4 linked regions of the Arabidopsis thaliana genome follow. The protein of the gene in region 3 interacts with the protein of the main gene of each other region in a pairwise test. Each region holds a gene or a part of one and is shown on either strand. Other genes may lie near its edges. The genes, in order: AT4G31830, AT1G80890, AT1G01910 and HCC1.

Region 1 (6,590 bases), on a different chromosome or scaffold from region 3:
AACCATTCTCCATCATCTCAGAAAGCAGCTTGATGGCTTCATCTATCTCCCCAACCTTACTGTAGCACTTCATCATCATGTTATAAGTTACTGAATCAGGGACCAGTCCTATGTCTTTCAAGCCATAGAAGATTTGTTTCGCTTCTCGGTCCCTTCCCGCTTTAGCTAGACTGTAGAGAGACGCATTACAGGCTACAATGTTCGGAGCTATTCCTTTGGTTTTCATCTTCTCAAAAGTCTCAAGAGCACTGACGGAATCTCCAGACTTTCCATAGTAATCAATGAAAACTATGTACGTATAGGCAGTGGGCTTCACGCCCAGAGACTCCATATTACCAAACAGTTCAAGTGCATCATCCAACCGGTGGACTCTTAGAAGACCGCAAATCAATGTGTTATATGTATGAAGGTTCGGTAAGATACCTTGGTCCCTCATCACATCCAATGTATCAAATGCTTCACCAAAATTCCCAGCTTTGCACAGAGCATCCACGAGAATGGTAAAGGTTACAACATCAGGTACATGACCATCCTTCTCCATTTCACTCCAAAACTGCTTCACTGAATCCAGATCTCTGTTATCACTAAACCTGTCCAGCAAAGTAATGTAAGTTACACGATCTGGTTTGTGTCTTCCTGTTTTCATCTTTTCGAAAACCTCCTTCGCACAATCGAGCTTCCTAGCAGTACACAGAGCATCAATAAGAACAGTGTAAGTAACTACATCAGGTCCACATCCTTCATCATCCATCCGCTTCAGTATTTCATATGCTTCATTAATCTTCCCTGCCCTACCAAGCACCCGAATACATATCGTAAAGGTGTAAACATTCGGCTTTAACCCCAAAGTCTCCATCTCTTTAAGTAAACCCATCACAGAATCAATATCCCTTCTTTTCCCCAAACCTACCATAAGTGAAGAGTAAGTCTGCAAACTAGGTCTAAAACCTTCCAAGATCATTCTTCTATAAACCTCCATTGCCTCTGTGCAAAACCTAGACTTAAGCAGAAGATGAATCAACCCATTGTATGAATATGCATTCAACACAAAACCAAATTCTCTCATCTTCCGAAGTGCATAAGGTGCTTGCTTCAATCCACCTTTCACAGAAAGACTCTTGAAGATAGTCAAGTAAGTATTAGTATCCCTCTTTATGATTCTTTTCTGCATCAAATCAAACACATAAGCCATTTCCTCAAGTTTACCATCAACCCTCAAAGCTTCAAGCATGTAGTTACAAGTCTCAGTAGTGTGAACTAAATTCAAATTCCCAGCCACTGATTTGAAATACGAAAATGAAGAATCAGTATCAGGAAACGACTTTAAACCCCTCGTTACTTCTTCACTCGATGACAAATCAGGTTTTGAGCTCTTTCTTATCATAGAACCCGAAAAGTCAGAACTTTTCATGGAGACTACACTACATCTCATACTCTTCCTTCTCCAGTGTTTCTTCCGAGACCCAATCTTCAAAGCGTGGAACTTTAATCCTCCAGTAACCAAATTATCGCGACATTTTGCTTTGATGTTACTAACAAGACAAGCATCACCAACTGATATATCACCACACAAACTCGCAGAGCAGAGTAACGCGACCATTCTAGAGATAAGCCAAGCAAGCAAAACAATTCAATTCTCCGGCAAAAATTGAAACGAAAACAGAGATTAACGATGATGATTCATCACATTTCAAGTGGCGCAGATATAACTAACAAAACACAAACACGTGCTGAATAGCTATGAGCATTTTGATTCGTCTCCGTTCACCGGCTGAAAAGAGCGCGAGGGAGTCGATTTCGGTGAACCGGAGATTTTTGATGAAAGAATTTTCGAAGCAGAATAATAAAAAACTTGCCGAGAGGATAAAATCAGACTCGCTCCACTCGATCCTTACCGTTTTGCTTCCCTCCCAAAATATCTTTAGGCCCAATTCAGGCCCATTTTTAGGCCTCTTTTCACGACAGTCCAGGTTTCTTTGTGTTGCTGTAAATTACCTTTTTGGGTACTAAATTCAAAATTCTCATTCACTTTTGTTTTGTTTTCTTTGTTGATTGTTGATAGATCCAACTAATTTATCCAGAATTGAAAAAGAGGAAGAACAATTTAGATTAAAATAAATTTAATGTAGTAAATAACAAAGATTTCTACTTTATATTCCAAAATTAATAAATAGAATTAAGACTAATTGTCTTTTAAAAGAAGAAGGCCCATAATCCAAGAACAAGCCCAAATACGACACTAAATCCGCCGGCGAGCTTAGCGGCACCACTAGTAGGAGCTACGGCTGGACCGTCGAACTCAGATGGCGAAGGACCTGGAGAGAAAGCAGAGTTACGAGGAGTGATGACGACTAGGCGTAGCTTCTGACCCTTTTGACAATGACCCTCTGTTCCACTGACGAAGTAGACCGGACCAGCTTGGTCAAGCTTCACCTTTGTGTTCCCGTCGGTGTAGCTGGCTTTAGGGCTAGTGGTGTTGCATTTCTCGTATGCTTCTCGTGTCACTTGCAAAACCGAGTCTTTACCGGCTTCGTACTTGAATACTGTAATAAACATGTGACGATGTCAGAAACAGAGTATATTGAAGATCACACAAAATGTCTAATTGAAAAAAAAAAGTTGAAAATTATGGATTTACCGATAAAGTCGCCGACTTTGAAGCGAGCCTTTTGAGCCCATTCGTTAAAGGAGAAAGAAGAGGAAGGAGGGATCTTCCAGTCACCGGATTTTCCACCGACGGTAACCTCATTTGCATTCACGGACGAAAAGAAGAAGACAGAGATGCAGAGGAAGATGGTGACCAAAAGAGAAGAAGAAGCCATTGATTAGAATCTAAAACCTTAAAAGTATTAGAGTGTGTAATGTGTTTTAAAGTGTGTTGAGGATGGAGAGAGTGTGGATCTTGTGTGGTTTATATAAAGGTAGAGGACTTGGAAACTAGCCGTTTAGGAATTACGAAAAATTAAAAGGAAAAAATGGTAAATGTTAATGTATCCGTTGGAGAGATGATAAAGGCAACGTAACGGTTAGGATTGAGCGACAAAACTTGAACTCTGATAGAGAAAGTGATTTCACGGTCTTCTAGGAAGACTGGTCAAGCTAAGCTGTTTCTGTTTTTTGTTTTTGTACTTTACTTTTTGTTTGCTAGTGGGAACTGGGTTTATTGGGCCTTGAAGTTGATAAAAGATGAATAAAAGACATATCGCCTAAAGCCCATATGAGAAGCAGAAGACAAAAACCTCCAACTTTGGGCATAAATTTTGATTATAGTTAAAAGTCCAGACCCAATTTGGCACCTGGCTTAGTTACGATTCTAAGGCATGACACCTGCCTAATATGTTTATTACAGAAAATAAAGAGAATCAGCTAGGTGTCCCTTATTGAACACATTAACAAACTCCAACGACACTACGTGTCTTCGTGACTCTTACTATATCCAAAAACCTATAGCTAAAGCTGAATTTTCCATGATTAGTATAGTCCCAACCAAAAAAATACTGAAGAAGGCATAAGCATGGCCGGAGAAGAAGACTGGAGAAAAACAGCAGATACGACGAAGATGAGCTCGGAGGGAGTAAAAGCTGCCGGCGTTGAGTCATCAAAGAGGCCGCCAGGAAGTAATCCAGGTGGTGTTCTTCATCAACGCCGTAACTTGCCATACAGTTACACGACGATGGCTCTAGCCGGATTAGCTATCTCGGGGGCCATCATGTACACTGTTATGTATGCTAAGAAGAAGCCGGAAGCCACTGCCACTGATGTAGCTAAGGCTGCCACAGGGACGGCTAAACCTGAAGATACACATCCAAGAAAGTAAAATTTCAAGGGAAGAATTAAAGGGTTTATCTTCTTCTTCTTTTTTTGCTTTTGTAATTTTGTTCTTGCTTCATGCTCTTGTTGGAACTTCTTATTTACTTGTAATAAAATAACATAACGTGTCCAAGAATGGCTTATGTCAACTACTAGAGCAAGCAGAAGAATAAAATGGGAGGAATAGAGTAGTCTTGTGTAGCAAATGCATGCGTATAATTTAGATCACCGAATCCTCTACATTTCTCTGTGTTATGTCGCTTAAAAGTAGGGCCATTATTGTGGGCTTCTTTTGCGTATTAATATTTTTGGGCCATATCCTAAAAGATGTGTAGAGCATCATCATGCATGGCATTCAAAGACTACAAATCCGGTTTTGCAGTCTTTTGATATGACTTTGATTACGTTTTTATATTTCCAGTCTTAATGAAAAATAGAAAATTCCAATTGTTTATGGAATTTATTCAGTTTGGTTTTGATTTAGTTTTAGGGTAAATTCTCTAACAAGAAAACTCAATTTGAAAATTTCGAACGGTGTGATTATTTTGAATCGGCAATGTGGTCTTGATTACTTACTGTCAAGTGCCAAATAAAAGTTTAAGGAAAGAAATAGTAATTTTTTAGTCAACTACAAAATAATAGCAAGTTGATTCTATGAGACAATTGGTGATTCGCATGTCTTTAAAAAACGTTGATTGGCATAAAATAAGATCGTAACGTTATAAATATGAAAAAATTAGGTGAGTCCACTTAATGGCCCAGAAAAGTAAGTGTATTGACATAGGCTGTTAGGTAGAAACACTCATGTGTTGCTTTATGAGCATAAAACCTGGACGACAAACTTTTTTTTCTCTCCTCACCAACTGCACACATTTTATTTATAAATCAACATTTTCGTCTTTAAATTAGGCTGATCATCGTTTACTTTCTAATCAATTCTGATAAAACATTCAAAGTACTACTACTAAAAGCTTCAGTTCAAGTATCCACTACTTAGAAACATATCTAACGGCTCGTCCATAAGCCATAACTCATGACTAACAATTAAATATCTAAAATCTTCACTTTCCAATTTTTCAATAACAAAAAGATAGAAATTCAATGACTTAAATGAGATTTTGCATAAGTTTGGTATGTAACGTCATTAGAATCAACTCTCTCACTCGTAAATATTAATTAGAGCTACAAATTTAATAGATACGTACATTATATATATACATTGTTTTGTGCAAAATAAAACAAATGGCCACGTTATTTTTTACTTGGATAATAGGGTTTGTGTACTTATTCCTCAAACCCATATGATAACATTTCGTCATTTGGCAAATACAGCTTACTATTACGAAACTCACACCACTATTACAAAACATCCAATTGAGTCTTCTCCATATTGGTGGAGTCTTCTATCATTTTATTTCATGATGTTCAAGAAGAAAACAATAAGATAAAGATAGACCTGAAAACGACCAAAGTTATTCTGCGGAAACTATTTGTACATTCCAAATAATTCAAGTAAGTTTTACACAAATAAAACTAAGGGTAAAAACTAATTTTCGTCTACTTATAAAAAGGTAAAAGAAGTTAAAAAAAAAAGAGTAGGAAATTATAAAGAAATTTATGAAGAAAGGAGAAAAGGAAGAGAAGAAGCACAAGGTTGCAATTATGGAGGTTTGGACCCATAGTCAGTGTTCACCATCATTTGTTTATGATGCCTTATGCTCACGCCTGTCTATAATTATCTTTCTATTATTTTTCAACATTAAACCTTTACTATTAGTCGTTTGACGTTAAACATTCATATCTCAACGATCAAACAATAAAAAGCATTCTCATCTCAGAACCGAAATTTGGTTTCGATTGGATTGACTATATTCTCCACGGTTCGATTAAATGTGAGGTTTCCGGATTGTCGTCTTAAATTATTCACTAAGAGTAATCGTTTGTGTTATAGGTATATGCCATGCTTTTTATGTTCTCTATGACATAAAAATACAAACGCAATACTATATTGACTACAGTATATTCCATCAATTCTCTGTTTAGGGTACATATTCATTTGATACCATTTGCAGTCTTCCAGTCAATTTATTTTTGTCATTTGATGTATTATTTATTGGGAAAAATGTTGAAAAATGCGCCAACTTTCAAATTTGGGACGAAAAAAGCATGAACTTTCGAAATGTCATTTAAATCTCAAAGTTTGAGTTGGCTTATTAAAAAATGTCTAAGTTTCGTTGACGTGGTCATTTAAGGCATGCCGTGAAATTTGCGTTAACAGAAAATTAACGGAGTCAACTTTCCGTTAACAGTTCAAAACGACGTCGTTTTAAAAATTAAAAATAAGAAGAAAATCGGACACAACCTAGTGTCAAACCGACGATTCCCTGCAGCTGTAATTAAGCCTTCAACCATGGAGCTACTGTAAACCACGGAGCTACTGTAAACCATGGAGCTACTGTAAACTTGTAACAACATTGATTGAGCTTATATATATGTAACTAGTTGAAACTAATAGAACTCCATTGTTGCCTGAGAAGAAAACAGCGTGAGCAGGTGGCGTGGAATCACGTCAAATATGAGCGTGAGGTTGAGATCGTGTGGCTCGTCTATGTCCAATGATGGTTTGTTTGGGGAGAGTACCGTTCTCGGATTTATACAATTGGAGATCCGTTTAATGTTGTCGATTTCAAGTATTGTGAACTCTTGATTACATCTGATTCAGAGTTATTTTCTGGACTTGTTCACGCTGTTTATTACGCAGGCAATAATGGAGCTTTTAG
Region 2 (7,061 bases), about 30 Mb from region 3:
AGCCAAGAACTTTCTGGGAATTTTGGAGGAGAGAGCACTCCTCAGACCGCCATTGGTACTCCAACGCATCATGAGGTTGATTTTGCTCTTGCTCTACAAGCTTCTTCGTCTTCCAAGAACAGTAGAACAAGCCGTAACATTAAGGAAATGAGTCTGAATTCGATGAGTTTAGCAATGGATGGTGAGACAAAAGGAAAAGAGGTTTCAAATGATGTTGTGTTGTCATGTGAGGATCATGAGTTTGATCAGGGCAAGGAGATGAATTTATTGAGTCCGAATTCGGTTCTTGATTTGGGGAAGGGGTCTAAGCAATGGGGGAGAGATTGGTGGTGGAAGCAAGAAGGGAGTGGTGAATTGTGTAGTAAAGATTATGTTAGGGAATGGATAGGGAGTCAGATTGACACTGCTAATCCGGATTGGGATGATGACAAGAAGGTCATCACTACTCCTGAGCTGGGAGTTTCGACTAGGACAATCGATAAAGCAGAACATCGAGATGAGTCTGGTTTGAATGAATCTAGGTTTGACACTCTGGAAGAGAAGTTTGCAAAAGAAGAGATCAGCGAGAGGAAGAACAAAAGATCGAAAAACAAGAAGAAGAAGCATAGGAATATGGAGGAATGGTGGAAAGAGGAAGAGCATCAAGAAGAGATGAATAACAAAAAGAAGATTGGAGTTTTGAGAATCAAGTTCAAGAATCATTTGAAATTCCCGCATTTTCGTTACTGTTTCCGACAAAAGGGTGAAAACAGCGTGCACGACCGAGAAGGAGAAGCAGCGGGAGAATTTAGCTTCAGAAGAGGATGGAGAAGGAAAAGCAATAGCAGCAGCAAGAAGAAGAAGAAGAACAACAATGGATCGATGGGGAGTGAGATGTGGAGTGGTGATTTGTTCAGCCGTGAATTAAGCAGCACGACGAGTATGAGAGGAACATTGTGTTACATAGCACCGGAATATGGAGGCGGTTGCTGTTACTTGATGGAGAAAGGAGATATCTACAGCTTTGGAGTACTGATTCTAGTGATAGTCTCGGGTAGGAGGCCTTTACACGTCCTTGCATCGCCGATGAAGCTTGAAAAAGCAAATTTGGTGAGCTGGTGTAGGCAACTGGCTCAGTCAGGGAACGTTCTTGAGCTGGTCGACGAGAAATTGAAGGATGGGTATAACAAGGAAGAAGCAGGATTGTGCATTAACTTGGCTTTGGCTTGTCTGCAGAAAGCTCCAGAGTTACGGCCTGATGTTAGTGAAGTTGTGAGAATCTTGAGAGGGGAAATGGACATTTCCTCCACTGCTTTCGAGTTTTCTCCATCGCCACCGGGAAAAGTTTACGGCAGTAGATCGAAGCGGAGAAGCTAAAACAGGGCAATGCAGAGTAGTAGTTCGAGGTTTGATATGATCTTTTCATTTTCGAAATTGTTGGATGTAACTTGAAAGAGTTTTAGCTTTTGAGAATTGTATTATGTTGTAATTTTTGTAAACTATATATATAATTTAAAATCTTATATATAAATATTTAAACTTTAAACTTTTTCGATTGATTAAATAATTTTAGATAAATTGTCTTATTTTCTTAACTATACCTAATATTTTTGTTTTTTAAGTGTTAAATTTTAAATATGTGTAAACTAATTGATTGTCCAATTATGTTTATTTAGAATTTTAACACCTATTTCATTTATCGAAAAACGTTTTTAGTTTTTAGTTTATACTAATTTATATATCAATATTTAAAAGGTTTTTCGATGTTTTCCATACTCTTGATGGAGTAAACTGATGGTTCCTTGAAATGTGGCATGAAAAAATTGCAACACATAAAAGAATCCAAGGCCATAACATTCATCATTGGTTCACGAGTCACAGAATACAAAAATATTATATAAGAAAATGAAGTCCAAGGACAAAAGAATACAGAAAAGGACACAAATAGACTATGAGAGAGCTCTGAAGATCTTGCCTTGGAAACACAGTGAGCTCAGCCTTTGCCTGTTCTGCAGTCTGGCTCATATCATAACACATTGAACTTTAACTTCTTGTAACTTGAACGTGCAGCGATGCGTGGACGTGTAACAATCAAGAATCACACTAGTTTTTAACGTCTATCATGTAATCCGGAGAGAGATTCCTGAATCAGCATGGCTGCAAATGATTAGTTTTGCAGATTCATTGATATTAGGAATATGCAAAGGTAGCGATCAGCAAATCTAGTAAACTGACGAAAAGATTACCTGGAAAACTGCACGGCGGATGTAGTGAAAGAGTGGAGACCGTGAGGTTTGAGAATTGAGTCATTATTTCAGTGATCGTTTGATGAGAAACTTCAAGTCTTACCCCTATCTGATTATTTTCTGTCTACTGATCGTTGACCCTTGTAGCCTTCCTGAGAACCAACTTTTTGAAGATTCATCCTCTTGCTTTTTCTGACCCCCTTCACCTTTTGCTCCTCAAGAAGTTTCTGGAGCATAGGATTTCCTACGAACCCCTTTGATTTCATCTCTGAATAGATCTCTCTGGCCTTTTCAAGCCACCCACATGACAAAAGGCCCTGTATTGTAGCCAAGTAAAGAGCAGGATTAGCCACTATCTCAAAACGATCCATTTCTGCCCAGATCTTCAAAGCATTTTCTGGTTGCTTTCCCTTGAACAATTTTCCAAGAATAAGAAGAAAGGTCTCTTCTGTAGGACCTAAATCAGAGATCTTCATTTGGCCTAAAACCTCTAAAGTTTTCTCGAAATTTACAGCCTCAAGGAATGCATGAAATGTATCAACTGTTGGACTAAGGTTCTCACTAATCATGGTTGCCAATACATTCCTGGCTACGTCCAGCTTTCCAGCCTCACAAAGGGGGCGTATCATCGAGTTGTAGGTCACTGAATCTGGCTTTAATCCTTCCTCGTTCAACTTTTTCATAAGCTTCATAGCTTCATCAAAGCAATCCTCACGGGTCAACACATAAACCAAGGAATTGTAAACTTCAATCCCTGGAGCCAATCCCCGTTTCTTCATTTCATCGTATAGCCTGAGAGAATCAAAAAGGTTCCCAACTTTAGAGAAGCAAGAGATCATGTGACTGTAAGAGTCCTTGTTAGGCGTGATACAGTAATTCCCCATCTCTCGCCAAATCCTCTTTGCTTCAGTCACATCAGTCCAAATGTTACACCAACCATTAAGAATTACGTTGAATCCCTCAACATCCACCGGAAAGAGCTTTTTGCTTGCAAGCATGAACTCTTCAGCTTTTTCAATGTGGCCATGTCTACACAATGCACATAGCAATCCTTGAAATGCTTCATCATAAGGAGTGTGTTTAAACTTATCCATAATATCAAATGTCCGAATAGCTTGGCTAGTATCATTAGCAGCAGCATATCTACATCAACACCGTCACCAAGACAACCAATTCAATACCTAGCTAGTAAATCTTTCAATTTAGCACAACAAAAGAGAAACTTTTATCAAGAAGACGAAACCGAACCTGTCCATCATGAGAAACATGGCCTTTCTAGTATCCTTTGAAACATTAAACATATCACGGATCAAACACCAAGCAATGTTGAACTTTTGATGATTACCCAACACCCAGATCATCAAATCACAAGATTTCTGATCATCACAGCCGCGTTTCTCTCCCCATTTGAATGCTAGAAAGGCAAGCCTCCATTCATCTCTTAATTCCCAGATTAAGGAGTAGAAAGAATCATGATTTAGATCAAATGATGAGTCCTCCAGAGAAGCCATGGCATCCGCCTCTGACTCCAGCTCAGAGACCTGTCTGATTAAATCAATCAGACCCTTTTCTAACGGAGCCAATGCTGTTAAGTTGATATCAAATGTTTCGGAGATGGTTTTGGTGGAGAAGCGATTAGAAGAGGCAAAATGTGGGAGATAGCTTAAAACTTGAGAATGCACATGACCTGCTCGATGAAATGCTGAAGAGAAGGAATGATTTTGGGAAACTGAGCTCGAAAACGACGTCGACACTGCACGACGTAGCAGAGATTGATGCTGAACAATCCGCCATTGTGGCGTTCGCGCGAGTTTCCTACCAATGGCAACGATCGCGGCCATAGCGAGTGAGTGAGAAGGCTTAAATTAATACATTTCAAACATGGTCTTAATGGGATGAGGATATGAAGTTAATGGGGTCAAAAACGAATATATAGATAATATGGGGTCTAATATGGTAATAAACAAAGTAACACTAATATGAATGGGCCTAAATAGGGCCCATTTTAGATTTCTTTAAAAGATCCGAGAGAGAGAGGGATCTAATTCCTGATAAACCCTAGAAGAAGAAGAAGAAGAAGAAGAAGAAGAAGAAGAAGAAGAAGAAGAAGCAAAACCTGTGGAGATCGAGATGGGAAATGAGAGCAAGAGCAATTTGGGAGGAGGAGGAATTAGGGCAAAGATGGAGCACTATGTCTACAGTGGGGAGAAGAAGCACGTTTTGGCTGGGATCGGGATTATCTCCATCATCTTCGGAATCCCTTGGTATCTAATGAATCAAGGTTCGTTTTCTCTGGGCGATTTAGATTGAAATATATAAATAGATGTTTCTCTGTAGATTCCGAAATGGAAGAGGATGATGATATCAATAGCTGAAAGATTTAGAATCTAAAGTTTCTAACTTTATATTTCTTGGCAAATGCAATCAAGTGGTCGATCAAATAGAGTTTGATTATATGATAATGATGAGTCACAATGTTTATTCTGTTTGGATCATAATAGACTTGCATGATCACATTTTTTACCAAGTTTGTTTGCTTTTTCCCCTGATGATCACACATCGATTCAATTGCATAATCTCAATGGTTAAATATCTTATTTGCTATATGTGACATTTGGTAATATTCTCCTTGTTTTGTTCATTATATAGGCTAATTGTTTCTCTTATTGGCTTTTGTTGTTTGGTAAATCTGGTTTGTTTCAGGATCAAAGCATCGTTCTCACCAAGATTACTTGGAAAAAGCTGATAAAGCTCGAAAAGCTCGTCTCTCATCATCTTCATCCTCGGATAAGTAGTCATCTCCCCCCACTTGGATGGAGACTCTAGTCAACTACATTTTGTGAATGGATCCATACATCATCGTTTCCATGTCTATAAACTCAGCCATGTCTGTTCTAGAGTGTGGTTCAGTTCAGATATGTATCTTTACACTCTACACTTAGGTTTCTTTATCGAAGATATGTAAATTTGCGATAAGTTAAAGGATTCATCCTTTACGATACTGTTGTGTGAGCTGTGAGTTTCGACTAGGACAATCCATAAAGTGAAAGATCAAGATGAGTCTGGTATGGTTTGCTTAATAATCTTTCAGTAACCCAAAAAAAAAATACACGGGGTTTTATCTTGTAAAGGTCACAGGCGATTAATGTATAGATTTAAGCAACATAAACAGTAAAACAATCGTCTACGTGTCAGGGTAGTTATGTCTTCACAGAGGCATGAGTCTTCTACGTTTGTAGTACCAGAGGAATGCCAAAAATACAACAAGGCCACACACTCCAGTAATGGCTAAAACCCATTTGAAAGCACCAGGCTTTTCAAAGAAGTCTATCTCAAAATTCATCCCAAAGATCCCGGCTACAACCCCGAAGATGGCTACAACGAATGTGGCAGTAGTTAGCAGCAGCTCGAATTGGATCAGCTGATTCCGTACGTTATCCTGCAAATTCCAGAAATTTTCAGCAGATTCTTAAGGTTTTCTAAGCAAATAAGATATCTAAAAAAGATCAAGATTTCAAGGTATACCAATTGAATGTTGATGAAATCTTCGGTATCATCGATGTACTCCTTTAACTGAAGAGTAAAGAGAGTTGCAGGTGATTAAACCGCTTTTAAAAGCTGTTAAAACAAGATGATGAATGATCACAAAGGCGAGGTTTTTAGTTACCGAGGTTAGCTTGTTGAGAGTGCTGTCAATGACAACAAAGTATGCTTCCAGCAACATCTCTAGCTCCTCTATATTCTCGGTTGCGTCTTCTGAGCTCCTAGCACTGTCATGCCGGCTCCTTACAATGCTCAAGCTTTTCTCAAGTCTACGGGACTCAGGAGGAGAAGAAACAGGAGAAACTGGCGCAGACAGAGAAAAACAATCATTTGTTCGATAAACAGGTAAAGATTGATCACCATATAAAGATCCTTCCATTCTCTTCTTCTTCTCTGTTAGATACATTTCTGCCATATCCCCATCATCGTCCATTAGCTGTTCAATCTCATCCCGAACCTTCTGAACTCGTCTCGTCAATGCTACAAGTCTGCTCTTTAGTCTACGAGCACGCTCCAAGTTTAGAGTACTGATCTTTGAGGTAAGCTCATCCAATAATGGGTATGCCTCAATCTCTAACTCTGAAGCCTACAAAGGGAAAATCTATTCTCAATGCTGAGCATACTAAATAACAATAAGTTGTGAATCAATCACTGACCTGGGAATCAAGGAAGGTACAAGCAGCTTCAAGTGCAACTTCAAGAGCCCTGAACTCGAAAGGTAAATAATCAGGGGATGAGTTCTGAAGCACATTGTCTAAACTCCTACTCCTCCTCCTGCTCAATTCGAGACTGTCCTGATTCCAAACCTCAGTAACAGAACTTGCCTTTAGTCTCTGCTGCAGCTCAACAACATAGCGAAGCACATAGTTGTCAAGGGAATTCAAGAGCAAAACCTCATCCGCAGTAATAATACAACGGATCTGCTCTAAGTTAACAACAATAGCCTTCTCTCTACCAAGAATAGTTGACGGATACACAAACAAAGGATCAAGCAGCCTTAAATCCCGTGCTGGTAAATCACATCTACGCATCATAGTGAACTTATCAACCTCAATGACCTGAGAATTGGCAGAAGTATCAACACGAATCCACGACTTAAGGCCTTGTCCACGCTTCTTGAGACCCAAAACATCAACTCCAAGGAGTGGTTGTCTCCCTGAAGGAGAAGGACGAGAGCCTGCATCACCTCTAAGGTTAATAGCCGAAGCAGGTCTTGGAGGAAGCAAACGCTCTTTGAGTTCAGACATTGTTGCCAATCTCCAGATACTACAAAACCAGGTAAGTATAAGGAAT
Region 3 (8,990 bases):
AGGAAAACATAAAGAAAAAATGTTTATATATTTTTTTACCTCTAGGAAAGATAATTCATAGCCTTGAAGTGTAATTTTTGTCATTTTTCTCTCTATTGTTAGGATATTCAAGAGCTACTTGCTAGCTGGAAACCTTATTTTGATGGTGCTGCTTGTGTTTTTGTCCATGCTCCCTCAAGCAGTAGGCAATTACTTTTCAATGGAGGCAAACCGTACTTTAGCAGCCAAAACTGCGCTGTACGAAACGTTCCATTTACGATCCGTCGGCCAACCTTCAAGGAATCACAGCGTATATATAATCAGTTGACTCAGATTGCACATGTAACTGAGGAGATTTTTGTTAATCGACCAGAAGTCACCAAAGCTAATACAGTGGTGCAGACCCACAATGAGGATTCTGGCAAAACCTCAAGAAAGGAAGAGCCCGATGAAACTTCTTCTAGCAACATAATCTTAGAGGAACCAAATCGTATAGAAGAGGATATCGAGGATGGAGTTACTGGTACGTCAACTGCCTTACATGAAGCTGCCAAATCGGGTGATTGTGAAAGAGTTATGGAGTTCTTGGAGGAGGGTATGGATCCTTGTGCTAAGGATGAAAGAGGCAGAACGCCATACATGCTTGCAAATGAGAAGGAAGTGAGAAACACTTTCAGACGGTTTATGGCGTTAAACCTTGAAAAATGGAATTGGCATGATGCTAAAGTACCCAGCCCGCTCACAAAAGAGATGGAGGAATCTCAAGCTGCCAAGCAGGTACTTGCATTGGTTTGTTATTTGTTGAATTTAGAAGTTTGGTTAAGGATTCCGCATGAGGCAAAATAGGACTAGTGCAGTTAGTCCTTTCATTGCGCATTGGGATTTTAGGTTGAGCTCTATCCCGGAGTTAATGATGTATGTGTGGTCATGTGTTAGAATCCGATGACTGCCAAATACTATATTAATTGGTGTCGTATATATTTGTTCTGGCATGATTTGGTATATGATTTTCGGAGACATGTGGTTGCATATGGGAGTCTGAATCCATCATCAGACTAACTTGATTCGTGACGGTGATTGTTGTTCAGGCAGAAAAAGACGCCAAGCAGAAAGCAAGAACAAAGGAGTTGAAGAAACTACGCAAAGCCCGAGAAAAGAAGGCTCAGGTAACGTTTTGAATCAGGGTCTATTTTTCAAACAAAACTCGGATTAGTAGAGACTTGTTATCTAACCCTCCCTGTGTTTGCAGGCCGAAGCTGCGCAGGCGGAGAAGGAGAAGCCAATTTCTAAAGTGGTTAGCTTCACAAACCCCAATTTGTATAATCTGATCTCAGTCTGATATTTAAGGAGAAGCCATGTCAACATTTGCTTTGTCTTTGGTGTAAATCTTGTTGTAATAGGAGGAAGTGAGGAGAGCAATGGCAGCACAGAGGGAAAAGAGAGCAGCCGCTGCAGAAAGACGGATGGCATCACTTAACATTCAAAGCAGTTCAAGCACAAGTTAATTTCCAACTTTTTAGTGAGTTAGGTAAAAGAGGAGAAAGTTTGAAAAACAAGAAGTGAGTATCATCATTAAAGTGCACAACATTACCGACTCAATTATTAGGCCACACACAAATTTGTTTTTAGAAGGCCCGTTTAGACCACAAACCGACTTCTCAATATTTCCATATATATATATATATATGCATGAAGCCTTGTTTTCACATCAATAGTGTCTCGATCCAGAGTTGCAAGTTTTTTTTTCTTTTTTCTTAAGGATCAAGAAAGAGTAGCGGCACTAAATATGAGTAAATGAGTAAATGGCGTGGTGCCATTACCGAATCTTTGCAAATCCTATTGATTTTGCACCAGATTTGATTTAGATGAAAAGATTTTATATTGGTTTAGCTAAAAGATTTGGGTATTACTTTAAAATATATAGACCGTTAATTTGGTGCCACACACTAATAATTGTTATATCACACAATTTGCTTATTTAGCCTTTGAAATGGATATGTTTAAAATAATCTACAATAAAACACCGATGAGATATCAGTCAATGGTCAGAGGAGAGAGCTAAGTGAAGGGCATGCTCTGCCTCCTTCAACAACAGTCTTGTGAGCTGCTTCTGTCCTCTACGGTACACTACACTTGACCACTTGTTTCTGCTCATCCTTCTCCCATCCAAGTCCCTACCACAAAACATATTTTATAAACATTTTTAATCAATATCTAAACGACATGTCCACAGATTTTTTACATTGTACCTCGATTCTTCATGGCTCTCTAAGACGCACGCCTCCTCAAGGAGCCTAGCATCTTGTTCTTCAGTGCCAGAATTCTCTTCCAGCTTCATCATCCTGTCAGGACAAAAAGCATTGAGGTCTGTAATTTTCTTCTCATCCCACAGACAAACATCTTAGTTAGCCCTTAAGAATCCATGTTCAAATTCAACTGCTTACTTTGAATTAAGGAGATCCACAAGTAACTGCAAAGCTCCAGAATCCCCACATGCTTCCCATACTGCCATCCTGACCTCAGTTTCAGAAGGTTGCTCGCCTTGTCTTGACTCAACAAGCTTTTCAGGAAAACAATACTTTTGTCTCATTATCTAGTGGAAGACAAACTGTGGATATTTATGATTCCGCCTTCGTTTCCCAAGTTACTACTTTCACTCTTTCAGAGATGGAGATTTTTTGTGTAGGATATGGGTTTCAGATGTCAGAAGAAAGAAAAAACGGTGATCATACCTCTTCAAGCATAGCTGAGACCTTGTAAATCTCTTCTTCTTGCATTGCAATGGTCCTTAAGCCAGTCATAAAATCTTCTGGGAAAACTAGTTTGTTCATATATGTGGGCATCTTACGCTTCCCAGACCAACTGAAATTACAGGATCTCACTGTTTCCTTCTCATCACTTTCTCTAATTACTGATGTGGTTCGTGGGAAAAACCCATGATTTAGGACCGATTTTGGCAAGAGACACCGGAGTTGTGCATTCTGCAATGATATTTTTTAGAGTTCGACAGTTACATATTACATGGAAATAAATGTATTAAAGAGCTACATTGTCTTATAGGGTCTATAATCAAAACTTCGGGTAAGATAGTGCGAAGACTTGTACTGCTAACCTGAGCTTCAAGCAGCTGCCCCTTGGAATCAGAAAAAGGGATACTCGGAATTGCCTCAACAGGATAATGTACCTGAATAAATCCATTGTTAAACGTAACAACAGATGTGAGAACAAAATTGACGAGCATCTCCTTGATCTTGAAAGTTATGTTTCTCGTCATCATTCTCAAGACTTCTATAATACATCACTGGTTGAAAAGGTAGGGAACTGTTGATGGATGTAAATATTACCATGAGATAATCATCTGGGTTGTTATCTATCACAAAGCCATACAGGTAAAGAAGCTCCTGCATTCAGCAAGAAGGCACATCACTCAAACAAAGGGCTAGATGTGATTTTTTACCAAGAGACAAGTTATATAGTTGTACAAGATAGCTGCAAAACATCTTACCTCATTTCCTTTGTTACCATAACTGATCGAGATCTCCTTCTTTGGGATAGGACGTTGAGCAACTGCTTTACAGAATTGTAGCACTTAGTTTTCCGCATACAGATCAAAAAGAAGAGAGGAAAAAGAATGTTCTGTATTGTTTGATTGAAAAATTGTAGAAAGCTGAGAGGTAACACAAACAAATATTTGGCCAACCAGAGAGAAGGTACATGGAGAAAGGAACCCTAGATACTGATCCGATCCCATCAACTTCCCAAGTCGCCACAGGCTTCAAATCTATACTGCCATAACCATAGGTCATTATATCACATCACACTGGGATATACTCATTAACCATATCAACATTATGGAACGGAGAAACTGATAATAGAGTCTTTTTGAAACAAAGATTGGCATACCATGGTTGCAAAAGTCAATGCCAGGAACAAGCCCCTCAACCCATATTGTATCTCCGGATCCTACAGATGGCGCAGGTTGAGCCTGAATTTCTACCCATCAGAAAATGAAGAAACCCATGAAATTGTCGTTACATGATAGAATAATAATAATTAAAAAAGAGGCATTTCACACAGAATTCAGCAGACCGACGTTAATGACTTGCCTTTTTCCTCATTAGAATTAACTGGAGCCGTTTCAGGGGACTCACTTGTTGATGTGCATTCCCCGGTATCATCTTGGCTTTGTGGAAACACGAAAGAATGTGGAAGAGGAATATTCAAGGCGCGACTCCAGAATACAGAGTTTGCCCTGGCATAATTGAAAAAAGTCGCAAGATCACTAAGCAGCCCTTTACAAGACACAAAAGTCTGGTTCTACTAACAAGGAATAACACCAGTACCAAACATACCAGAGGAAGTGTTCAAAGGAGACCTTGCTGCACGAAGAGAGAAAACAAAATATGATTATCAATGAACAATAATTTGGTCTAAAAGTAGTGTAAATATGTCAACCTTTCGGAATCGCCATCCAAAATAAGAAGCTTTGTCACCAGGACCTCCACCTTGTCATGGTAAAGCGAGAGCAACTTCTTCTTCTGAGAATGAATACACGATGGTTATTGGGTTTAATAAATGAAAAGAGAAAATGTGGTTGCTATTTTAAGGACGATATGATAAGACAGGAATAAATGATCAAGATTGAGACCTGTAACTCGGTTGCGTGATACAAGTTAGTCCCTTTTAGCTCAAGGATGTCATCATCAGAAAACCAAAGAGGATTGCCAAATCGAGTAGGAAGCATATCAAGATACCTATCATATCATTTCTAGACAGATGAATACCCTTAAGCTTACGTAAATGTGTGCTAAGAGATTAAAAAAAAAACTTACGGCTTCCAAGAAGAATTGATACGAAGACGCTCCAAAGTGAGGAACAGAATCATGAGAAAGCGGTCATCAACTTGTCCTTGTTCGAACATTTTCTGACACTCAGGGCCCAGGAGAGGGTCCTGAAGAACTCTCATAGGGGTAATGGCCAGATCAAGCGGAACAACAAGCAAAACTTCTGAAAATTTCCAGAGCTGAATCAGAATTCAATATCAACTTTCCATACATATTCCCCGGAAAAAAACCCAGCAAGAAATGGTAAGAACAATACTATACCATCGGAAGCTTGAGTGGAGGTGGAAGCGAATATGCCAAATCCTTTTAGGGAGTCAGAATATTTGATGTTGCAGCCTCTTAATTCACCTCCATTCACCTGAATGAAATTAGATCGAAACACAAAATGCCATGATATAGAGCAGCAGATCAGGACTGAAAAACAACACTTAATCCGGATCTAACCTGAAGCCAATCTAGGAACCTTTCGAGTTTGGCTTCTTCTTCTGAAATCGCCATATCCTCCGGCGAAGATCAATATGCCGGCGACGGGTTTAACCGAGTAGAGAGGGGTTTTCAATCGTAACTCACAATACGCTGTCGTAATGGCTTCATCTATGTGGGCTTTTGTATGGGCTTATTTAGCGTTTATGAACTTAAACACACCAAATTTAAATTTTTAACAAAAAAAGAAAAATTGAACAAGTGAAAAACGATAACCAAAAAAATCAAACCAAGACTGCTGTGATATCCCAAAACCGAGAACCAAAATATTGAACCGGGCGGCGTTAAAAGTCTCTCGCCGCAGTTAAACTCTTCCGTACGCCAAATATCTAACAAGGAGCTCTTTAGATTGAGACTAGTGGAAGAGAGACGAGCAAGGAATTAGCAATGGCGGCGGATTTGCCGGAGGCGACAGTACAGAACATTCTGGACCAAGAGTCTCTTAAATGGGTTTTCGTCGGAGGTAAAGGAGGTGTTGGGAAGACGACATGCAGTTCAATTCTCGCAATTTGTCTCGCCAGTGTTCGATCCTCCGTTCTCATCATCTCCACCGATCCTGCTCACAATCTTAGTGATGCCTTTCAGCAACGCTTCACTAAATCTCCCACTTTGGTTCAAGGTTTCTCTAATCTCTTTGCCATGGTAAGCTTTCTCCGATTTTGTTCTAGATCGTGCTAGATTTTAGAGGGAATTTGGTAGTTTCGCTCCTGGATTTTAATCTCATTGGGAATTAGGGTTCTCTGATTCACGAATTTCAAACCGCAGATTGATGGATCAATTTTGATTTTGAAGTCAGATTTAGTACTTGCATAAATACGGTTGATTTGTGCCTTTCTTATCATATGCCCACTCTGATTTTGGGGATTAGGTTTGGAATTTGGACGCCAATTTGTATTCTTGATACGGAAGGGGATTGTGAAGAAGATTTGATGTCCCCAAATCAAATCGAATTTTTGTCTATTGTAGTTAAAATTCATGGCTAGTTATGCCAAATTCAAAAAAAAAAAAAAAAGTTGTTTTTTGTGGTTCTGGGTCGCCTCTAATAGACAGGCTTGATGATGACTTTATGGCTACTCTTCTAAGCTTGAAGCTCTTAGTTGTGTCTGTGTGTATATGTATATATATACACATACTATAAGCAAATGGTTACGATTCACACTCCTTCCCTCTTGATAGTGAGTGAATCTTGTTTGCTTTTCTCAGGAGGTAGATCCTACCGTTGAAACTGATGACATGGCTGGTACAGACGGGATGGATGGTTTATTCTCTGATTTGGCAAATGCGATTCCTGGAATCGATGAGGCTATGAGTTTTGCTGAGATGTTGAAGTAAATAGCCATTTAGTTCTTCTAGTAATCATCTGCCTTTATCCATGTATTATCACAGTCAAATTTTGATATGTTTATGTTTCCTTAGGTTGGTGCAAACAATGGATTATGCTACTATTGTGTTTGACACTGCTCCTACTGGACATACTCTCCGCCTGTTACAGTTTCCGGCCACACTAGAAAAGGGACTTTCGAAGTTGATGTCATTGAAGAGTAGATTTGGTGGCTTGATGACTCAGGCATGTCTTTAAGCTTGTCAAATTCAGTTTGCTTGGCAACAGATATTGCTCTTTGGTTTCTTCTTTGGCTGATTTTTCATGGAACTGATTGGTAATGCAGATGAGCCGTATGTTTGGCATGGAGGATGAGTTCGGAGAGGATGCTTTGCTGGGAAGACTTGAGGGCTTGAAAGATGTGATTGAGCAAGTAAATCGGCAATTCAAAGACCCGGTAACATTTTTTCAATTGTTTAAGTTCTTTGCTATTTTCAGTACTCATTGACTGTTTTCTTAACTCTGTTCGTGAAGTTTAGTTTTAGATTCTTCACATTGTTCTGTAGCATACGGTTTGACAGCATTCATTTGCATTAGTGAAAATTCTGATACATATCTAACAAACTCTGCATTTTAAGATAAGAAATTGACACATTTGGCTCCATTACGTAGGATATGACTACGTTCGTTTGTGTCTGCATCCCCGAGTTCTTGTCTCTCTATGAAACAGAGAGACTTGTTCAGGAACTCGCCAAGTTTGAGATTGACACGCATAACATTATCATCAACCAAGTACTATACGACGACGAAGGTGCCTATTTATTTGCTGTCGTGTCTATCTTCTCGTTTTGAACTTGTTTTACATACAAATTTGACGAATTATCTACACTTGTCTTCTGTAGATGTGGAGTCCAAGTTGCTCAGAGCAAGGATGCGGATGCAACAGAAGTATCTTGATCAGTTTTATATGCTATACGATGACTTTAATATCACAAAGCTTCCTCTGCTTCCGGAAGAGGTAAGAACGCATGACATTCAATATAGATGAGAAGGAACATGATCAAGACGAAAATGAAACTAAAGCCTTATATAATATACATCCTGAGATTTACACTTGTTGTGGATGTTTGGATCACAGGTGACAGGGGTTGAAGCCTTAAAGGCGTTTTCACATAAGTTCTTGACGCCGTACCATCCTACCACTAGCAGGAGCAATGTAGAGGAGCTGGAGAGGAAAGTACACACATTGCGTTTGCAGTTAAAAACAGCTGAAGAAGAACTCGAACGGGTCAAGAGTGGCTAAAGATAAGGCTCTGTTCTTCCCTTTAATTGTAAGTTTCTTTCCTCGCCATATTCTTGGAACTCACTTGCTTTCTACATGGGGGTCTTCTGGATCTGCGTTGTCATTTGGGTTTATTGTTGTTTATGTTTTGAACAATTTATAGGTGGAAAATTAAAACTGAATCTTTTTCTCTCTAGTTCTTCATCTAGCAACAACTCTTTATAGGACAGGAAAGAAGATCAAGCAGAATCTTCTTTTGCGTTGTTTTATTGTTATGCATTGGATTTGTTTTTATATTTGTAATAATCATGACTACATAGACTCATATCTACCAAGAAATCGTTGTTTTACGACTTAATCAGCTTTTTATATATTAAGTTGAAGGGTATCTGTGACAAGCGAATGCTATGATCTCTTGTAACAGCTTTTTATATACTGTAGACTGGTCTTGCAACAGAGAAGGAAAATTCATGTAAAAAAATTATAGTAAATAAGAGATGTTTTGATTTATTGACAAATTCTTACAAGTTTAGGGTAAGCTTTTGTTCAATAAGTTTCTTTGGTATATAATAAATATGAAAATGGCAATCAATAGATGCGAAATTTATTCCCACGTCACGGCGATTGGGCTTCTGACGTTGTATTTGTCACATATCCAAACCAAAACTCCAAAGGAAGACGAAGACGAATTTCTCGAAGCTTCTGCATCATACGTCACCGTATAACTCAACCTCTCTCTGGCCTTCTGGAACTTGAGCACCTTTGGTTCAACTCTCACCTTCACACCTTTTGGTTCCTCAACGTGCACCATATACTCACAAGTCGGTGACCCAACGTTAGTCACAGTCCTCTTATATCTCACCGTTTTCAAATTCGCGCCATTAACGAGGTTGACCGCGAACGAGGGATAGTTCAAATCACCGGGACTCAAAACGACGGCGTTACTAGCACACGTGTAGTTAGTGCCGGAGAACAAGAGTATTCTCTCACTCGTGTAGTTCAAGCTGCACAAGTAGTTGAGATAATCGACGGTGGAGGTATCGTATACCAGCCCGGGATCTACCGCTCGCGTGGGATCCAC
Region 4 (8,257 bases), on a different chromosome or scaffold from region 3:
GCATGCTTCAAGTGTCGCAAAAATTCTTGATCTTATCGTTGGAAATGTAAATGATAAGGGTTTACTCTCGATTCTTCCAGTGATTGACATCTTAGTTCAGGTGCGTATAATTTCCCATTTTCCCAATTGGTCGTATCCTTATTGTGATGGTGTTTAAGTTCCAGAGATACTTATTCTTCTGTTAAGTTTGTATCTAGACTGCATTTATTTTTGTATTACATAGCCTCATCTCTTGGGATACATATATATTGACCAGTAATGGAACTTTTGGCATGATTACACTGGAATTTTTTGTCATGACTCTCTATAAATGTGTTGCAAATTACGCCAAGTTTAACTTCTTGATATGAACATGTGCTTGTGTATTGAGCAGTGTTTTCCTGTGGAAGTGCCCCCTCTCATCAGCAGCTGTTTGCAGGTGAATTTTTCTAGTCTTCTTTTGATGGATGCAAAATCCATTTTCTTCCTTAATGCATCTGATGGAGTTGGTTTGTTCGTTTTCTCGCAGAAACTGGTGATTATTTGCTTGAGTGGTGGAGATGACCGTGATCCATCCAAGACTGCAGTTAAAGTGTCTTCAGCAGCTATCCTTGCAAGGATTCTGGTGATGAACACCACTTACCTGGCCCAGCTAACATCTGATTCATCTCTTTCAGTGTTACTCCAACAGGCAGGTGTCCCAGTCGAAGACAATATACTCCTTTGCCTCATCGACATTTGGCTCGACAAGGTCAGTGAAGAACACATCTTGAACATTACTGGTTGTTCGAATAGCTTTCTAGACTATTAACTTTCAGATAATGGAATATTAACTTGTTTCATGTCTTTACATGGTCTTTTTCTTGAATCCTAAGCAATATCTCATTGTCAAACTGCTCTACATGTTGAAATGCATGTTTCTTTTTCATTATCTGACGCACTTTAGTCTTGCATCTACTCGTGCAGGTGGACCATGCGTCTCCCATGCAACAAAAGACATTTGGCTTGGCTCTTTCCATAATACTTACACTTAGAATGCCCCAAGTTCTTGACAAGCTTGATCTAATACTAAGGTACAGGTTTGCACAGTCGAGAATTAACAGTTTGACTTATGTATCTTTGTGATATAATTTATCGCGTTTCTGGAAACAGTACATGCACCAGTGTGATCCTTGGTGAAAACAAAGATTTAACAGAAGAAGAATCAAGGTCAGATACTTTTTTTAATTACTTACATTACATAACATTATTAAATTAATTTTAAGTGACTTTTTTTATTTGTTATTGAACTGTTCACAACACTAAGAATTAAGAAACACACAATTTATAATTCCAGCGGTGACATGAGTTCAAGCAGGTCTCAAGGAGAAGAAACCCCGCCAAGCAAAGAGTTACGGAAAAGTCAGGTAAAAGTTAATTTAAAATATGGGTTTCTTGAAGAACCAGCTTCTACAAAACCACTGATTTATTACACTTCTTTTTTGGGGGGTTGGATCTTATTTAGATAAAAGTTTCCGACCCAATCTACCAGATGTCACTAGAGAACTCAACGCGTGAGAACCTTCAGACATGTTCTACACTTCATGGAGATGCCTTTAATTCTGCCATTAGTAGGATGCACCCATCGGCGCTTGCACAAGTGAAGCAAGCCTTAAAGCTGCCGTGAATAAATGTTTTTGCCTCGTGATTGTTTGTTTCCTTATCAGTTAAAGAGCAGCAGTATTCAAGTGAGTTTCTGATTCGTTGTTATTCTCTCTTTTCAGCGTCATTCATTAAAAAACCTCCATTGTGTTTTTCTATATTCATCAGTATTCAAGTGATTGAATGTTTTTGCCTCTTCACCATTTGATCTGACTCGCCACTTCATAACTGTTCAGGTGAGTGAGCTTTTCTTCCCTTTACGGTTATGGATTTGATGGGTGTGTTACATAGGCGCGCATGTTGCATTGACCTCTGCGACCTTGGCGGTTTGATGAACTATGTACATATCTTTGATGAGGTGATTCCCTTTTAGCTGCCCATGATTCCCTACAGAACAAAAGGAGGCATCTTTCAGAGACTTATATTTGTTTTCCTTTGGTCGAGTTTAGTATGTCAATTCATTCTTCAATACAACGTTTTTGTCCCAATGTTACAAACAACACTAAAGAAAAAGTGAGGAATCAAAATAGGGAGATCCTTACGATGTATTTCCGGTCTGTTTTTTGTCCCAAGAACTCTAACTTTACATATGATGGGAACAGGTCGGAGTTTTTGTCTCTATCTGTCGTACTGTTGTACTTGCTGATTTTTACTCATTCTCCCTTATGAATAAATCTTGGCTTCGTGATTTTATAGTCGACCGTTTCATACAAGTGTTGTGATCGTACGCACTGTTAGATCCCAATTGCAGATTTTCACAAATTACTCCTTGGTCGTGTAAACTCTCTTTACTATGATGATTTTGTAAAAACACATACTATGGTATTTAGCAATAACGGGTAATTAAGCACTGCCTCTTAGTTCGACATTTAAGCACTGCCGATAATTTAGGCCTTAAAATTCTATACGAAGAAGTGTGATCAATTTATGGGACACGGGTAATCGGAATAATCTCAATTGATCCCTTAATGCCCTTATAGTATGGATACTACCGTTGTGTGCATGCTCGGCCACAACAAAAACTGATGTTTTTTCAAGGAAACACAAGCAGCTCCGTGTTCTGAGAAATCCTTATTAATGATGAGCTTCCAAAAATGGGAATAATGTATATTAATCACCTAAGTGTACTTCGAAGGTTCTTTACTTCCGGTACTGACGGATCTCTTTTACAACGCCGTCTGTCAACGAGTCAACATCGTGATTCTTCCCGTAGAATTTCACAAAATTCATCTCCGGACTCATCAAGTACCTTCACCCACAACATGTTTACATATCAAAACTCCAACCACCAAAAAAGAGATCAAACACTACTGAACACATACAAGATGAATCATTACACTGTAACTATGTAAAATGTAACTATGTAAATTCTGAAATTTGAGAATATGAACATGAACAATTCTAAGTCTGCATGTCGGGTTTTGTGCCGATAACTATAATCTTCCTAACAAAATATGTTAAAGGGATAATAAGTACACGTACATGACTATAGAGTGATCAACGAGATAGTCTGAATCTTCCTCTTCGGTCTTCATGTAGTAAACCCGGTAAGATCGGGCCACCGATTTGATTTCTTCAGGGCTCCCAGTTAACCCGATCAATTTCGGGTGAAATTCTACAAGAAGTATCAGACTATGAATTTTCATTTCAAAACCAAATGAATCTTTCGAAATGAAAAATATCTACCTTTGACATATTCATGTACTTGCTGAACTGTGTCTCTTTCAGGGTCCACAGAGATAAACACTGGCACCACGTCTACTCCCGAATTTTCCTCTGTGTAAATGTGATATAACCTTAGAGGAAAAATCTCCAAATGTAGAATCACACAAATGAAAAAATGTTGGTATCTCACTTATTTTGTCAATGGCAGCAGCTAACTTAATAAGTTCGTCAGGACAGATATCGGGACAATGAGTGAAACCAAAGTATAAAATGGTCCATTTTCCCATCAAGTTTTTCTCCGTCACACGTTTCCCATCGTCTCTTATAAGGCTGAATGGTCCTCCAATGGCTGCTTTTCCAGCAGATGGCCCCTCCTTGACGGCTATAGAGTTCTTATTTATATCTAAATCAATAAGAACCCAAGTCAATATACAAAGAAGAATCGAGATAAGCTCGAAGAGGGATTCAGCAGAAATCAATGTGAAATCCCTAAGCATTTACTCAGTGATAGAAGTGATAAGTTCATTTATCTTGCCAAGGTTATCACTAGCCAAATCAGATATCGTTTGCTAAGGTCTAAGGCCTGTGATCATTAAGCTACAAACAATGTATTCAATTAGACATTTCAGAACTCCATTAGCAAAATGTACGACATGATGCAAGATATTAAGAGCTCGGTCGAAATCTAGCACCTCAGTTTTACTGTTATTACACAATCCAAACTAGAAAATGGGAGCTATGTAGCCAAATCATGTAATAGTAGTCTACACTCTACATGATCAAGTTTGTGTTACTTTGTAGATATGTTCAAAAAATGAAACTCACCATAGATGAGTACCTTCGATATGACGTTTCTTTTGTGTGTCATAATAGTAGACCAATCCAGCTCCAGTAGCAAACAGCAAGAAAAAGCTCATCCATGAAACCGGCTGCAATCAAACCAAAAACTCTCCAATCAAATATTAGACCAAAACAACCATTTAATTCTGCAATTCAATCAGAGAGACTTTGTTCATGGAAACAGTTACCCCTCCACGAACGTCTTTTCCAGAAGCACGCTCGTTTTTATGATCTGAACCACCATCAGAACTCTCCGATCCTCCAGATTTCTCATTTTTCTCCGAAGATTTTGTTTCCGGTTTACCTGAGTCATGTTTCGAGGTAGTATCAGAAGCAGAAGTACTCAGCAAACATCTCTGATCCATTTTCAGCATTTCGATTCCACAGTTAAGTGAAAAAAACTGCAAAAGGAAGATAGCAATTAGAGAGCTCAAAACAAAGAGAATTAGAAAATGAATTCAGATGAGGAGAAGAAATGACGAACCGATCGAGGAAGAGAGAAATCTCCATGACGAAGCGCGTCGGAGATGCACGCCGGAGAAGGAGACGATGCCGATAGTAGATCGCTGGAGACGCGAATCCGACGAAAAAGTTGAACGGAACGAAGACGGCTTGCAGTTCTACATAGAGCAGACGCCATTGACGACCAATTTTTCTCTGAAGTTCACAAATTCGCTGATTTCTTTCCTGCGAGCTGAGGTTTTTAATCTGAGAGGTGCAAAGAGGTTTTACACTTTATAAAACCTTCTAGTGAAACGACACAGTTTATATTAAAACGGCAAGGTTTGCGAACGCCCTTTATACAAACACCTTGCCGTTCAGTTTAAAGCCCGTTTGGGTCGACAAGCTCATTAGTTTTAGATATTTAAAGCCCATTAAGCCGGTTTCAATCAATTGTTTTAGATATTTATGCTTTCCACCCCCAGTTTTAACATTACTATCACTTAGTTCCAACTCTTTTCATGAAGACCCAGTTGACTCAAGAGCGACCAACGATACTTTGATTGATAATGGAGTAACCAAAGAACAATAAAAGAGTTTTGCATTAACTACCCCAAGAGAACAAAATAAGACCCAACCTCAAACAGATATGGCCTGAGGGGAATTAAACTACTTTTACCCAAAAAAAAACTAACCACTATTCACATGATACGATAGAGAGAAGCGGAAAGACGACATGCAAAAAAAATAGAGGGTTAAATTTATGATGGGTGCATGAGCCTTGCAATCATTCCTTGAGTCCAGCGTGCAGTGACCTTGAGATCTTCATCCTCTGATTCGAGACACTCATTAAGGAACTCACCGAAGAAGGTGAAGTTTTGGAACAACTGCTTTGTGTTCTCTCCTACAACATCCGCAAGATCACCCATCGCTGCAACCGCGGCTTTTGTCACGCTCTCATCCCTGCTCTCATAACAAAACACCAGTTACAAGTTTAATATGTGCAACGAAACCAGAAGGAACAAATTGATTATATTTTCAAACCACATGGTACGGACCTCAGGGGATCTTTGGATACTAGTTCAACAAACTGCAGGAGATGTTGAGCGTAGGGCATCATGAGCTCGGCTTTTGTGTCCTTGAACCCTTGTAGTATCCCGGAGTATGCCTCAAAGATGCTTCTCCGCAGTTGGTTTGCATAATCCATAAGCTCCTCGTCAAGGGTATCCATCTGAGCACACACCTGAGCAGCCCCTTGCATGATCTGAACGGCTGGTGCTACATACCTTTCAAAATGAGCACCAATTGCCAGAGCAATGTCTCCAAAGCATGAGAATATTGGAGGCTTCACTGATCTGTGGAGTGCCCCACTTTGAAGGTTTTGGATAAGGAGACCCATTATCTGATCGCAAAAAGGTAGGATTTTTTCATCCAGGGCACGGCAAATGTCACCAAGCACTCCTACTGTGATTGAGCAGACTTGGTATTCTTCGAAATTCTGCAGCCCCATCTGGAGATATTTGAAAAGCTCGGGCATGTATTTCACAAACTCAGCTCCAGTAGCATATGCAAGAGCACCGATTGCAAGCATGGCTTCTTCGTGGACACTTGAACTATGGCATCCAAACACTCTTAGGAACAGCCTCATAATGTCATCTGCGCTCTGCATTATGATGGGTTTCGTATCCTCCCTGCCGCTCAGCTTCTGGATTATAACTTGGAGAACACCACACAGAGAAGCCTGGACTTCCGCTTGCTTCTCACGGTCATCAGTTGATATTATAGGGAGGTCCATTGTCTCAGCTAATTTTTTCATGATGGCAGGGAGGAGATGCGCTATGATGCTTGAGGCCTCTGAAAGGTTTGAACACCGGACAACCTCGTTCAAGGTTTCATACGCAGCACCTCTTAGCTTAGACTCTGCCCCATCTGTACGCTCAGCAGCTGCAAGCAGATGTGTGATGATCTCTGTAAGATAAGGAGAGAGAAGAGATGAACTTGCTCCAGAGTCTTCATATCCCTGTGCAAGATTGTATATTGCTCCACAGACCTTCTCTGCAACATTTGGCACATCTTTAATTGATTCCAGTAATACACTCACAATTCTAGGGAGGTTTTCGGGTGATATAACAGAGAAACCACTGTCTGGGGAGTGCAAAAATTCAAAGATACGGCTCAGAGTCCAAGCAGTTGTATCCCTGACATGGTTATTCTGATCCTTGGTTGCATTAAGGAGAAATTCCAAGCCAGCAGCAACCATCGGGGCAAGCTTATCAATTGTTGGGCCCTCCAAAATTGATCCAAAAGCATAAGTGGCTGCCTCCCGGCAGCGCCAATCTGGCGAACTTATGTTTTTTTCAACAAAAGGCATCACAAGAGGGACTACATGATCTCCAACTGTTCTGGCAACCAGGCCAAGGCATGTCCCGCCAGCCATAGATATGTTCCAGACGTCGTCATCATGGTCCTGATCCTCTTCCTGCTTCAGCAGAGTTTCTAGCAACATTTGAACTAAATGGGGAAGAGCCTTCTCTATGAAAGAGGAGTGGGGAGGAGATGAGTCACCACTAGCAGGACTGTCATACTCTTGACGGTCGATCTCTTCATCACAGATGGAACTCCAGAACTCAATTGCTTGGAGGGAAACGCTCTCTTCATCTCCCTTTACAGCATTCGATGTGAGCTCAAAGAGTGTTTGTATGTAGTGCTCCAGCACCTCATAGTATGTGGATGCAATGGACACAAGGCACTCGAAAGCAGCTTGCCTGATCTCTGCCTCCTTGGAACATGCTGTCTCGCATACCATCTTCATGATGTAATTCCTCTCCATTTCATTCTCAAAATTTGTCTGAGAGAAATCCAAGGCATTAACAGTGCCTTTGTTGCTGCGAGACGAACTTCAGCAGTATTTTCAGACTGGTTCATGCCCTGCACAACTGCTGTGAGGACAGAATTCACTTCATCTTGCACAAGATCATGGTGTGATATCTCTTCACAGACATAGCCTAGAGTTTCCAAGGTTGATTGCTTCAAGTGTGCGGGACTGCCTTGCTGAGTCATATTGTTAAGCAGCGATCCAACAAGTTCAGGCCACTGCTTCTGAGGAATTTCAATGGAGGCTACCTTAGCAATAACCTGAGCTGAAGTATGCCTTGCCTCTAGGGCAGATGAACCAAGAGTTCTTAGTAAGCGATCCTTGATCTGGGATTTAAGAGCAACATCAATTGCAAACCATTGTTTCACCAGATGATCTTTTGTGGCAGAATCTTTGGCGTCCAGAGAATTCTTTAGCAGAATACCGGCTAGTCGACGGGATTCAGCAGGTTTATCATTGTTGGCAAGCTCAAAAGACAAGGATACTAAGAACAGCGGCAAGTTCTGTTCTTGGAATTGCCTGAGATTACCCTCTGCTTCAGTCCGGACTCTTGCATCGGCTGACTGGGCAGCCAACAGAAACTGTGTGATCTCCATCGCCATTCTGGTCTCTGCGCAACAAGGACATTCACCATAATCAGCAAAAAAAAAGAGGGGTTAATAGAACAAAATCAGCACAATTCTAAAAAAAAAGGGAAAGCTACTGAACAAAGTAATGGTACAAGTATAAAAGGCAATAATACTATACAAACGGTCAACAAGTTCAATCAGATGGTACAAACAAGAGCATTTGAACATTATGAGCAAATATATCCAT

Evidence for each region.
Region 1: the proteins of AT1G01910 (region 3) and AT4G31830 interact in a two-hybrid assay, tested with the Arabidopsis thaliana proteins (one large-scale study listed by BioGRID).
Region 2: the proteins of AT1G01910 (region 3) and AT1G80890 interact in a two-hybrid assay, tested with the Arabidopsis thaliana proteins (one large-scale study listed by BioGRID).
Region 4: the proteins of AT1G01910 (region 3) and HCC1 interact in a two-hybrid assay, tested with the Arabidopsis thaliana proteins (one large-scale study listed by BioGRID).

Annotation. Positions count from the first base shown.
Region 1 is NC_003075.7:15,398,030-15,404,619, reverse strand, and holds AT4G31830 (uncharacterized protein), read left to right. Parts: upstream 1-3,394; 5' UTR 3,395-3,514; coding exon 3,515-3,817; 3' UTR 3,818-4,016; downstream 4,017-6,590. Other genes in the region: PGR3 (proton gradient regulation 3), read right to left, coding at 1-1,600; ENODL15 (early nodulin-like protein 15), read right to left, coding at 2,194-2,543, 2,639-2,822.
Region 2 is NC_003070.9:30,392,856-30,399,916, forward strand, and holds AT1G80890 (GAG1At protein), read left to right. Parts: upstream 1-4,272; 5' UTR 4,273-4,355; coding exon 4,356-4,506; exon of another isoform or gene 4,507-4,928; coding exon 4,929-5,020; 3' UTR 5,021-5,355; downstream 5,356-7,061. Other genes in the region: AT1G80870 (Protein kinase superfamily protein), read left to right, coding at 1-1,356; AT1G80880 (Tetratricopeptide repeat (TPR)-like superfamily protein), read right to left, coding at 2,339-3,368, 3,474-4,066; MGT1 (magnesium transporter 1), read right to left, coding at 5,434-5,664, 5,751-5,798, 5,893-6,354, 6,425-7,015.
Region 3 is NC_003070.9:312,535-321,524, reverse strand, and holds AT1G01910 (P-loop containing nucleoside triphosphate hydrolases superfamily protein), read left to right. Parts: upstream 1-5,434; 5' UTR 5,435-5,693; coding exon 5,694-5,948; intron 5,949-6,509; coding exon 6,510-6,634; intron 6,635-6,722; coding exon 6,723-6,873; intron 6,874-6,973; coding exon 6,974-7,084; exon of another isoform or gene 7,085-7,299; coding exon 7,300-7,438; intron 7,439-7,529; coding exon 7,530-7,645; coding exon of another isoform or gene 7,646-7,653; intron 7,654-7,765; coding exon 7,766-7,930; 3' UTR 7,931-8,371; downstream 8,372-8,990. Other genes in the region: AT1G01930 (zinc finger protein-like protein), read left to right, coding at 103-756, 1,068-1,145, 1,229-1,273, 1,380-1,484; AT1G01920 (SET domain-containing protein), read right to left, coding at 2,018-2,153, 2,229-2,321, 2,424-2,539, 2,712-2,960, 3,092-3,229, 3,324-3,380, 3,485-3,546, 3,680-3,760 and 8 more; SBTI1.1 (subtilase family protein), read right to left, coding at 8,514-8,990. UniProt on the Arabidopsis thaliana protein: ATPase required for the post-translational delivery of tail-anchored (TA) proteins to the endoplasmic reticulum. Recognizes and selectively binds the transmembrane domain of TA proteins in the cytosol.
Region 4 is NC_003074.8:2,723,793-2,732,049, reverse strand, and holds HCC1 (electron transport SCO1/SenC family protein), read right to left. Parts: upstream 4,858-8,257; 5' UTR 4,766-4,857; coding exon 4,610-4,765; intron 4,527-4,609; coding exon 4,314-4,526; intron 4,215-4,313; coding exon 4,124-4,214; intron 3,689-4,123; coding exon 3,476-3,688; intron 3,397-3,475; coding exon 3,307-3,396; intron 3,236-3,306; coding exon 3,103-3,235; intron 2,870-3,102; coding exon 2,761-2,869; 3' UTR 2,394-2,760; downstream 1-2,393. Other genes in the region: AT3G08960 (ARM repeat superfamily protein), read left to right, coding at 1-100, 374-418, 509-730, 946-1,052, 1,132-1,188, 1,316-1,385, 1,484-1,645; AT3G08947 (ARM repeat superfamily protein), read right to left, coding at 5,597-7,396. UniProt on the Arabidopsis thaliana protein: Thought to play a role in cellular copper homeostasis, mitochondrial redox signaling or insertion of copper into the active site of COX. Plays an essential role in embryo development.